Yarrowia lipolytica: one gene and its partner. The main gene of each other region encodes a partner of the protein of the gene in region 2 in a complex. Links are inferred from orthologs where the notes say so. Each region holds a gene or a part of one and is shown on either strand. Other genes may lie near its edges.

Region 1 (5,456 bases), on a different chromosome or scaffold from region 2:
GAAAACGCCGAGTCGTACTTTGACTGGCTCAAGGCGTCCAGCGAACTCGACTATCTGCTCGGCAACCAGGAATGGAAGGAAAGAGACGAGTGTCCAGCTTACGATTACGAATACGTCCGACTCCGATTGGACGAACTGAGACACGCCCGAACCAATAACGACACCACCCGACTGCTTTACCTCGTGCGAACAACGTGGAGTAGAAACCTCGGCAACCTCGGAGACGTCAAGCTCTACCACAACTCCTTTACCGGAACCAAACGACTCATCGAAGACTACATTCTGGAATGCGAACTGGCTCTCAACGCGCTCCTGGCAGCCGGAAACGACAAGATCCCGGACCAGGAGCTGCTCACGGAGCTGCTCAACACCAGAAAGGCATTTGGACGAACTGCCCTTCTGCTGTCCGGCGGAGGATGTCTCGGTCTGCTCCACACCGGTGTTCTCCAGGCCCTCTCAGACACATCGCTCTTGCCCCACGTCATATCGGGTTCGTCGGCAGGCTCAATCATGGCCGCGGGACTGTGCATTCACAAAGACGAAGAACACGAGGCTTTCATCACCGAGCTCATGGAGCGAGACTTTGACATTTTCGAAGAGTCCGGAAACGAAGACACGGTGCTCGAACGAGTGTCTCGAATGCTCAAACATGGATCGCTACTCGACAACAGATATATGCAGGACACTATGCGAGAATTATTTGGCGACATGACCTTTCTGGAGGCCTACAACCGGACTCGCCGTATTCTCAACGTTACGGTATCGTCTGCTGGCATCTACGAAATGCCTCGTTTGCTCAACTACCTGACGGCCCCCAACGTACTCATTTGGTCGGCTGTCTGCGCCTCCTGCTCGGTGCCTCTCATTTTCAATGCCTACACTCTGCTTGAAAAGGAGCCCAAAACAGGAGCTATTCAGACCTGGAACGCTTCTTCGCTGCGGTTCATTGACGGATCCGTCTATGCCGACGTGCCCATTGCGCGTCTCTCAGAAATGTTCAATGTAAATCATTTCATTGTCTCGCAGGTAAACCCTCACGTTGCTCCTTTCCTCAAGCTCACAGAAGACAAGGCCAACCCGGACTCGGTCGACGAAATCTACACGCTCAAGCTTTGGCACAACTTCAAGACGCTGGTCACCGACGAGGTCATGCACCAGTTGCAGGTGCTGTACGAGTTTGGCATCTTCAAGAACCTGTGTTCGAAAATGGGAGGCGTACTGTCCCAGCGATACAAGGGAGACATCACAATCCTGCCCCAGGTCCATCTCTCAGAGCTCCCGGGAATTCTTACTAACCCCACTGCCGCATACATGAAGGACACCAACCGACGAGGTGCCCAGGCCACTTATCGAAAGATCTCGCTCATTCGAAACCACTGTGCCATTGAGTTGGCGCTGGATCGAGCTATCCACGAACTCAAGGCCCGTATGCTCCCCTCCAAGCTTGGATCAGGACGTACATCCCCGCAAGGTACTTTTAAGCATTCGCAGTCGTCCAACCAGATTTCTGCGCTCAAACCTCCTTCTCGTCACATGTCTGCTTCATCGGCAACCACAGCACATACGCGTCTTCGGAACCGAAAGTCGTTTTCTCATGCACGTATCAAGAGTGATGCGGCCGCTGTGTTCGACAAGGAGCCTATTCACGAGACGCCCAAGTCGTCGCCTCAGAGCTCGTATGTCAACTTGCACCGATCTGCAAGTGAGCGGTCGAGACGACCCAAGTCTGCATTCAATCTGGGCTCTCTGCCGACCTCTCCTCTTTATCATCCGCATCTGACCCACTCCATGTCTATGGGGGGAGCCAATCAGGCGCCTCTGTACAATCCTGGGCGCGGTTCTGTGTCTCAGAACACCTCCCCTGGGACCAAAATCCCCGGAAACGCTGATCCGTCGTACTTTGATGGACCCAACAATGTGCGTTTCCACTGGGACAGCGACGACGACGATGTGCGAGAGACGGAGTTCCTCAACAACATGTCTTCGTCGTCTTCACGAAGAGTTTCTCCTGTCCAGAGTCGTCGAGCCAGTGTTGATGGACTGCGAAACTCTGTCGTATCCACCGCCACCAGTGTCACCGACGGTTCCGTGTCCAGCAGACCGTCCCGAGCGTGGGAGAGCATTTCCCAGCTGTTTGAAGGGGACGAGAACTGTTCTGACTCGTGCTAACCTGTGGCATGGCTAACGTTGATATACAATAGACAGTATCGGTATCGATATGACAATACATTTTGGGTAGATGAGCGATCGAAGATAGAACCAGCAACTACTAATACGCCTACGGTTAAGGCTTTCATGAGCATTTGCAGCTTATGATTGTTGTTACAGTATTTTTTCTTTCTTTCTTCTGTTTCTTGTTTCTTCTCAACTAGAGTTCACTAAAGTTGCTTTTGTTAGTTGGAATTAGTTGGGGATAATATACAGTCTTATTTGATCGACTTTACCTGAGATTTGGGCGGCAAATAACTTGATGAACCCTTCCAAATGGTCTATTGAGGGATTCTATTTTCCTAATATTCTCTTATTGCATCATTACTTATTGGTAGGCTGTTTCTGGTCAATTACATAGTGCATATAAAGTTCAAGTTAGCACCTGCGGGAATCGAACCGCAGCGTGAAAAAACTACACCTCTTGATCCATCGCCAATCATCCAGATCATCTCACACACAAAAATGCTGCGAACCCGTGCCTTTTCCACGTCGGCGCGAGTGCTGAGCTACATTGGAAAGCAGCCCATTCTCGTTCCCGAGTCGGTGACGCTGCAGATCTCGCCCACTGAGGTGGTGGTTGAGGGTCCTCTGGGACGAGTCCAGATGTCCAAGCCGACTTTTGTCAACATTGCATCGTCCCAGGACACCATGAGCTCCGGCTCTGTGCTGTCTGTGTCGGTTAACGACGCCACCAACAAGACGCAGCGAGCCATGTGGGGCACCATGCGAGGCCTCATCAACAACCATGTGACTGGTGTGACTGATGGCCATGTCGCTCTTCTGACCTTGGTGGGAACTGGATACCGAGCTGGAGTCGAGAAGGACGCCCACACCGGCGCTCCCATTGTCTCCGTTCGATGCGGTTTCTCCCACCCCATCAACTTTGTCATTCCTGCTGGCATCGAGGTGACTACACCCATCCCCACTCGAATTCTCATCAAGGGCGCTGACAAACAGCAGGTCAAGCTGTTTGGAGCTTCCATTCGACTCAAGCGACCCCCGGAGCCTTACAAGGGCAAGGGAATCTACCTCGACGACGAGACCATCACCCGAAAGGCCACCAAGGTGAAATAAATGTAAATAGATTGGTTATGAAAAGATTTGACACGACACCAGTAGCATGTGGCTTCTGTTGAGGTTAGCATGAATCGCGCAACCAACAAACCTGTAGAAACAGAACCTGTACTTGTACAGTAGCGCACGCCGCTTTGGCTATACCCTCGCATGACATATCTCGAACGATACCCCGACAAGAGGCGATGACAAGGATACCAACTCGTCTGAATGAGTATCTGAGTCTGACAGTCCGATAAGATACCGAAGCAGTTCTCGTACTACAGGCTAATGTATATATCATATCCAACAAACGGCTCGCTCTAGAGACTCTCATTATTGATATTATCCCAAAATGGATCCATAGGCCGCTACATTCACGTCTACAACTCAAGCAGGCTAGTCATTCTATGTACATAAGCTGAATGTCGACAGTAGCGTCGCATTCTAGGATTCGTCAACATGACAAGGTCTAGTTAACAAGATGTTCCTCCTCATCAATGATGAGGGGATCAATGAGTGAGTCGGCCAGGTTGACGACTCGTCCGTCTGGGAAGGTCAGAGACCACTCGAGCACTCGGAACTTTTCTCGGCCGGAGGCTCGTCGCGAGTTGAAATGCATGATGGCCTCGGCCTTGTTTCCCTTGACGGGGAAGGAGAAGTCCACCTTTCCAACAAGAGGACGAATGGTTCCCGACACCCAGGTGTAGGCACTGGCGAATCGGATACCCGAGCCCAGCTCCTCGTTGGCCAGGGGCGACTTTCGGAGCGTGTACATGCAAGATGAGACCTGCGAAGACGACATCTTCTCGTAGTTGAAGGAGAAGGCCAGAGACACGGTCATGATGACCACAAACAGACCAAATCCGGCCCATCGGCGCATCTTGTGGCTGGTAATGTTAGGCAGCTCCGTGTCCACGGTGACAGGTGCATTGGGCACCTTTTCGGGCGTGAACGGCTCAAAGGTGTGGCCCTCGTAACGTCGCAGGTTTCGGTCTTCGGGCAGCAGCTTTTCGTCGTCCTTCTTGGCGTCGGTCGACTGCTGGTGGAGCCACAGACGGCTGGTTGTGGACAGGGGTCGGGCGACCGAGAGAGGTCGCAGCAACGAAGGCAGAGCTCGTTGGGGACGCAGTAGTCGAAGCATTGTGTGAGTGTGTGCGAGGTGTGTGGTGGACTGCTCTGATATTGTAAGACGTACGGTATATTTGCTTTTATAGTTTGTATGGGTGTGGGTAGAAGGAGCTCTCCAAAGACCACCAGTAGCAGGTGTTTGGGAGCAAGTTGCACCGGAAAGAACTAACAGAGAGATTTGCACTGTAGATGTGGGTTGGTTTATGGGCAATTGGGGGGAAAAAGACCCCTATCGATGGTCATACTGTCCGCTTAAGATTACTTTCACCTCAGATTAACTTACTTAACAAACAGACTCAGCGTTACTTGAGAAATAGCTACAATTGTATCGAGGAAACAGATGACTTCAAACCAGCACCAAAAAGTGTGGGATTGAAAAAAATGACACCGGCAATCAACTTGCAGAGTCCACCATGGTATTTCAGCTCTTTCTCAGCCGTTGTCATTACCCCCCCTCGGTTCCTAAGTAAACGCAGGTTGGTCCTCCCACCTAGCTTCAAAGTTACCCTACCGTGAAATTTCCCAAGATTTTGACATTGCAGAACCACCACCCAGATCTGATCACACACACAAAAATGTTGCCTCGACTCCGTCTCATGGCAGAGGCCACTCCCGTGCGCGTGTTCAGCCGCGGCGTGGCCCAGCTCATCTCGCCCAACGCCAACGTCCCCGCCGCCGAGGCTCCCGCTCGAAACAACTCGCCTGCGGCCGCCTACGCCCGAAAGCAGCTGGTGTCTCGAACCGGAGCTCTGGCGTTCAAGCGAGGCATGATCTCGTGGTACGACGAGAACGGCGTGCACATGCCCGCCACGGTGCTGGAGATTGATCTGTGCCAGGTGGTGGGCCACAAGACCGAGGAGAAGCACGGATACAACGCCGTCCAGGTCGGAATGGGACACAGAAACAAGGCGCTGCAGAAGATGAACAAGAGCAAACTCGGCCAGTTTTCGGCCGCCACCGTCAACCCCAAGCAGGCGGTTGCCGAGTTTCGAATCCGCGGCAAGGACGGCCTTCTTCCCATCACCACCGAGATCACTGCCTCGCACTTCAAGGTCGGCCAG
Region 2 (5,693 bases):
CAGTAAATACGTGCAGATATGTACTCAACCTGTCTACTTGTACCGAAGATTCTGCATCTGCACCTACTTGTCTGGTTTACTAGTTGGCCCCCCAATGGCCCACACACACATCCAATCTCCCACCTTCCTCATTCATTCAATCATACCCCCCCATTTTCATCCCGTGGGTGCCCCACAACCCAATCCTACCGTGTCTAACGTAAACGTGTATTGACCATGGTGGGGTTACATACGGACGTGAGACAGGCAATGGAGTGGTGATGTGGTTCATGCTGAGTAAGAAATGGGATTTACGCGGTCCAAATTGCTCTGCGCTATTTGTAGAACAAACATATTGCTCTCAAACCCCTCACATAATGTCTACACCCGCCAAAACCTGTACAGACTCCTTTCTTCCTCACTCCACATGATCAAGTCACGCCGTTTCAATCTCACTTATGGTTATGCACAAGCGAGCTAAATATAGACGCATAACTAAATGTGAGTGTGAGTATATACTGTTTGTACAGTATGTACACGACACAGCCAGGAACATAGCCCACGCTGCGATAATTGGGACGTACAGTCATGATTATGAGACTTGAAATTACCGCGCGGCATACTGGAGGCGGAAATAATCGACTTTTCATCACCACAAAATATCCCCATTCACTCTCAATACACCCGTCTCTAATAACCGATGGTACATTCGTAACCTACGAACCAACGACAGTGTAACCTAAGATATACCGCAGAGACAAGTCCGAGATAAGAGGACGCTTGGCAGCAAACTACGCCACAGGCAGTCGGGGAGACGCCAAAGCGCGCCATGTCGTCTGTCCTTCGCCCACACCGCCTCTCCAGAGAGTCAGCCAAGCCCCGAGCCCCTTGTTTTGCACATCCACCAACAAGCTCTAATTAAACTACCGACCTAGTAGCGCGCTAGGGATGCAAGCAAAAAATCTAGCTCCGGAGGTCTAGCCCGAGGCTGGCAGTTTATAATGTTGGGGTGGTGTCTCTGGCGCTGCAATTGATTCCACTCGACGAAAAATGGGAATCAAAGGCTACTTTAGCACTATGAGAGAGCGGTTCACGCCGCTGACGTTGGACCAGATCGGCAAAGGTGTTGTCTTCGTGGACGGGCACATCATGGCCCACCAAATCGCCAACATGGTTGATCCAGGCAGCCGTTACGACATGCGTGGCGTGGCCATGAAGTTGGAGGAGCTCTTCAACTGTTGGATCGGCCAACACAAATGGGATATTCAGCTCGTGCTGTTTGACGGCCTGGTGCCCACAGACAAAATGGACGGCAGACGCAAACGGGCCATGGAGTCCCTCCCCACGGCTCTGCATGCCCAGAGTCTCGCTCTGACCGTTCTTTGTGGAGCTCTGTGTCTCGATACGATCCAGTCCAAGTTCCCAAATGTCCCGTGCTTGGTGTCTCCAGGCGAGGCAGACCGGGATCTGGCCTGTCTGGTCTTCAACTACGCCAAACTGAACTCCAACAAGGCCGTTCACATCATCTCCAACGACTCAGGTTTCTGCGCGTTCGACTTTCCGGAAAACGTGCACGTTGTCAACACCCTGGTAGGAGGGTTGGAGAACTCGGTTCTGTATGCCCTACCAGTCTCACGAACAGTCGCCAACTGGATCGGAGTCAAACCTACCCTACTGGCATACTCTGTCATGAAACACAGTGGAAAGGGACCTTCACAAGCGAAAAAGTACGAGGAGGAAGAGGGGTACCTAGAGTTTTCACAACAGCAACAACAGCTGCTAGCCAAGGCCAGTTACTCATCTGTAGGCGAATATCTCGCCGAACCTGTCACTCGAAGAGCATACCAGATCTTTGGCCAACAGCACGACGAGTTGTTAATGCATACAGCTGCGAACGCATGGATCGAGTATGGATACGGATACGTGCTGCTACCCGTCATGTGTGAGCCCAAGGAGTTTGAGTATGCCTTTGACGCTGGACGAAGGTGGCGATCTGTGGCGTACGAGATCTGTGCCCAGAGACTGATGCAGGTGTTCCCCGAAAAGGACTTTGTGACATCTCATGTGCGTGAGTTTGTGCGGATTGGAGAAACGTTAGGAGAGATGGACGTGCCTATTACCGACCACGAGAGAGCAAGATACAACAAGACCGGTTCACATTACCAGCTGTTCCAAAAGGAGGAGCTTTTGCGAGCGGTCAAGACGTGGAAGACTTCGGATCTGATCAACGCCATTTGGATAGAAATCATGGCCACGTCTCCCAACGTCCGAAACACCAAACTTGAATTTGACGCCCATCACATGAGGGATAGGGTGGTCAAGTACTTGAAGGAAGCATGGAACGACGAGGGAGTGTTTGCTCTGCGAAGGTACTCACGAAAGGAGCGTAAGTTGATGGCCCGCAAGTCGTGCGCAATGGAAGCAACGGATCGTCGGTTCTACAACAAGCTGTTGGCCTGTTTCCAGAGCTTGCGAATGCTTCAAGCTGTGGGAGTCACGTTCCCAGTCGATGTTCATTTGTTTGATCTTGATGGAACTCGATGGATGTCTATGACCAAGTCGAAGTGACAAAACAACCGAGCCAAGTATTTATATATGTGACAATAGATGATTACAATTTTAACTTGTTGTACAAGTATCTCTGAGTAGCCGAAGTATTAGTAGATTTTTATATATGCATATATTGTAATCGAACCAACAACCACACAGCCAAACGCACTTGCCCTCACCTCCTCAAACCCTAACCGCAGTGAAAAATACTGCATGGCTCTGGGCCGACTGGGATCAAGAAAGCTTTCAAACACCCGAAACACATACACACAAAATGCGACTTTCCGGGGTGTCTCGATTCGGCGCAACGGTCGCCAAGTTACAGCGACCTACCATCACTCTGCCCACCAAGCAGGCCTCCGGCATCGACGCCAACAAGTACAAGGGCGGGCTGCCTCTGCATCGACCCTTGAACCAGGAAGAGCGAGTTGCCAAGCTGGAGCAGGGCATCGAGTCTGGCGACGCCCATTTCGCGCTGGGTAAGCGGGAGGTGTGGTTCCCTAAGGAGCAGGTTATTCTTGTGCGACCCAATGCCAAGCTGACCCCCTACCAGGCGTCCTTTCTCACTCCTCTGCACATGAACAAGATGGAACTGCGAGACTACCTGTACAACGTCTACGGTCTGCGAGCGCTCAACGTGCGGTCCGTGGTTTTCCCCGCCGCATTTGAGCGAGAAAACCCCACCCGACCCCGATACCGAAAGCGAATGATCAAGAAGATGACTATTGAGATGGAGGAGCCCTTTGTGTGGCCCGAGGACACTGACGGCTTTCTGGCCAAGATGGAGGAGTCGGCAAGAGAGACCAAGAAGCTCATGGACGAGGTCACCGGCCTTGATTCCCTTGGGTCCAGTCGAGATCGACCCTCTACTGCCTTTGGGGGAATTATGGGCCCCTACAAGAAGGCCGGATCACCTTTCGTGGCCCAGAAGGTGGCATCCAAGCTTGGCGGCTCCAAGCGACGAGAGGCCGAGGCCGAGGCTCAGCAGGAGAAGATGCGAAACATCGCCTTCTACCTGGCCAAGAACAAGCAGGCTGGCATTCCCCAGCCTAAGACAAACTAGTCTCTGTATATAGAAAGGATATGTTATGATAGCAAACACTGTAGAGAGTGAGAATGAGTATGGGAATGCAGAGAATGAATATGCTCAACATGTTATCTATTACGAGCATACTATTACCATCACGTCTATAAGGAAACATTAGATGAGTGTACACTGGGTTGTTACAGTACAACTACAGCAAAGTGTTGAACATGAGTTCATATCACAAGTACAGCAGCTAGAAGTACGTATCTTACGAAGTAATACTTGACCTGATAGATTGAGCATGTACAATCGTCGATGCTCACTTGGATGATCTGCTTAACCATAAAGGCGAAATGCGGTGTTACTGTAAACACCCAATCGTCTACAAAGGTCTCCCCCATTCATGTCCATACCTCCAATAATATTATATATACAGCTAACGCGTTCCTTTTCCTTCGCATCGCCACTGTGCGCCACAGTTTTCCTTATAAGAAACCCCGGAAAGAGTTGATCTTCTTGGATTCGCTCTTTCTAGCAGCATTCTGCCATCCTCCCCGCCCTCGAGCTCGTGGCCGAGAAGAGTCCTCATCCTGAGATGTAGAGTGCGAATGCGAAGGAGGCTGGGGCTGGGGGATGTTAGTAGCAGATGTTGCGTGGCTGCCGTGGCCTCCAAAGTTCATGCCCAAGTGCTCAACTGCAGGAGAAGGTGTCTTCGAGTTGCCTCCAATGGGCACTCCTCGGTAGTAAGCCGAGTCCGAGCCGGCTAAAGACGCTGACGACTGCTTGGTGGTTCTGTGGGAGTTCCCAGAAGACTCTCCAATGGACTCCACGTCGTAACCAAGCAGACTCTTTTGGTTAGTGTTGTTGAACAGCTCACCAGCGCCAGGAGACAGGTTCTCGGCCTCTGAAGACGCGGCGTATGTTCGGAATCGTTCGTCCAGATCTTGGTACCGCTGAGACAGCTCTTGATGACTAACTGACAGCTGATGGTACCGATTTTCAGCCTCCTGTTTGATAGTCTCAAGCATCTCGAGCACCTTGTGTGAGGGCTGAGTCTGCTTTTCAATGTTTGTCATCTGCTCTTCAAGTTCTGCGATCTCGCCTCGCAACCGTTTCTCCATTGTTTCCTTCTCGTGTTTCAGGACTCCTAAGTCAATCTTAGTTTTCTCCAGCTCAATGTGAAGATCTGAGTTGGACGATTGTGTCTCGGAGCCCCGTATGTTGTCAGATGAAGATTCGGCGGAGGCCTCGAGGCTTTTCAGCTTGTCTCTATACTCGTTAATCAATCGATTCTCATTTTCCAGAGATTCGACCTTGAGCTCCAGCTGTGTGACAGCAGCCTCCTTGGCCATAGCTGCAGCATACAGTCTCTGGTTCTCAGCCTGCATGTGCTCAAACTCGAGGTTGGTTTTGGCAGTTTCCTCAGTCAGCGCGTCACACTGAAGACGCAGTTCTCGGTTACGTTTTGTCAGCGTACCTTCGTGCTGTACCTTTTGTGTTCTTAGCGTGTTTCCGAGCTCTTTCATCTTCACCAACTGCGAGTTGAGCTGCTCAGACTGACGCTTGAGCTTTTGATTGGATGTGACGAGGTTCTGAACGTCAATATCTTGTCTAAGAGCACTGTGAAGCTGTTCCTTGAGTTGGCGGATGCGGAACTGGTTGTGGTAGTCCAAGTAACAGACAAAATCAAGCTCGTTCTTGATCAGCAATAGCTCTCGCTGATAATAAGCCAAAATATCGGCCTGTTCGGAAGTAGAGTCTCCTCTGAGAATGGGGGAACCGACAGGCAACTGAGTTGGGCTCATCGCAGGGCTGGAGTTAGTTCCTGACTCAAGGACACCCTCAATAGAGGCTGAGGGTGCTCCTAGACTGGAATGTTTCTGGTATCGAGTCAGTGGAGAAACAGGACTCTCTTCTCGACCCTGAGAATCGCTATCATCAAGAGTAAGTGTGGAAATGGATACTGGAGGAGGAAAGTCGGCCTTTCTGCCGTACAGAGACTGGTGACGGGCCTGAAGATCCATAAGCTGACCAGTGGCAGATGTAGATGTCAACGTAGGCGAGAGCAGCTCTCCAGCAGCAACTTGTGACTCTGTTGAAGTTGTCACTTGACTGGAAGGAGTAGATTCTCGGTCAG

Evidence for each region. The genes of interacting proteins can lie anywhere in the genome.
Region 1: YALI1_E15274g (region 2) and YALI1_F13579g share a complex: the UniProt entries of both Saccharomyces cerevisiae proteins name them as parts of the mitochondrial large ribosomal subunit. The link is inferred for Yarrowia lipolytica from reciprocal best matches to the Saccharomyces cerevisiae genes MRP20 and MRPL6.

Annotation. Positions count from the first base shown.
Region 1 is NC_090775.1:1,355,302-1,360,757, forward strand, and holds YALI1_F13579g (mitochondrial 54S ribosomal protein uL6m), read left to right. Parts: upstream 1-2,673; coding exon 2,674-3,285; downstream 3,286-5,456. Other genes in the region: YALI1_F13550g (uncharacterized protein), read left to right, coding at 1-2,169; YALI1_F13597g (uncharacterized protein), read right to left, coding at 3,737-4,408; YALI1_F13602g (mitochondrial 54S ribosomal protein uL3m), read left to right, coding at 4,971-5,456. UniProt on the Saccharomyces cerevisiae protein: Component of the mitochondrial ribosome (mitoribosome), a dedicated translation machinery responsible for the synthesis of mitochondrial genome-encoded proteins, including at least some of the essential transmembrane subunits of the mitochondrial respiratory chain.
Region 2 is NC_090774.1:1,524,582-1,530,274, forward strand, and holds YALI1_E15274g (mitochondrial 54S ribosomal protein uL23m), read left to right. Parts: upstream 1-2,803; coding exon 2,804-3,592; downstream 3,593-5,693. Other genes in the region: YALI1_E15256g (uncharacterized protein), read left to right, coding at 1,030-2,547; YALI1_E15318g (uncharacterized protein), read right to left, coding at 4,042-5,693. UniProt on the Saccharomyces cerevisiae protein: Component of the mitochondrial ribosome (mitoribosome), a dedicated translation machinery responsible for the synthesis of mitochondrial genome-encoded proteins, including at least some of the essential transmembrane subunits of the mitochondrial respiratory chain.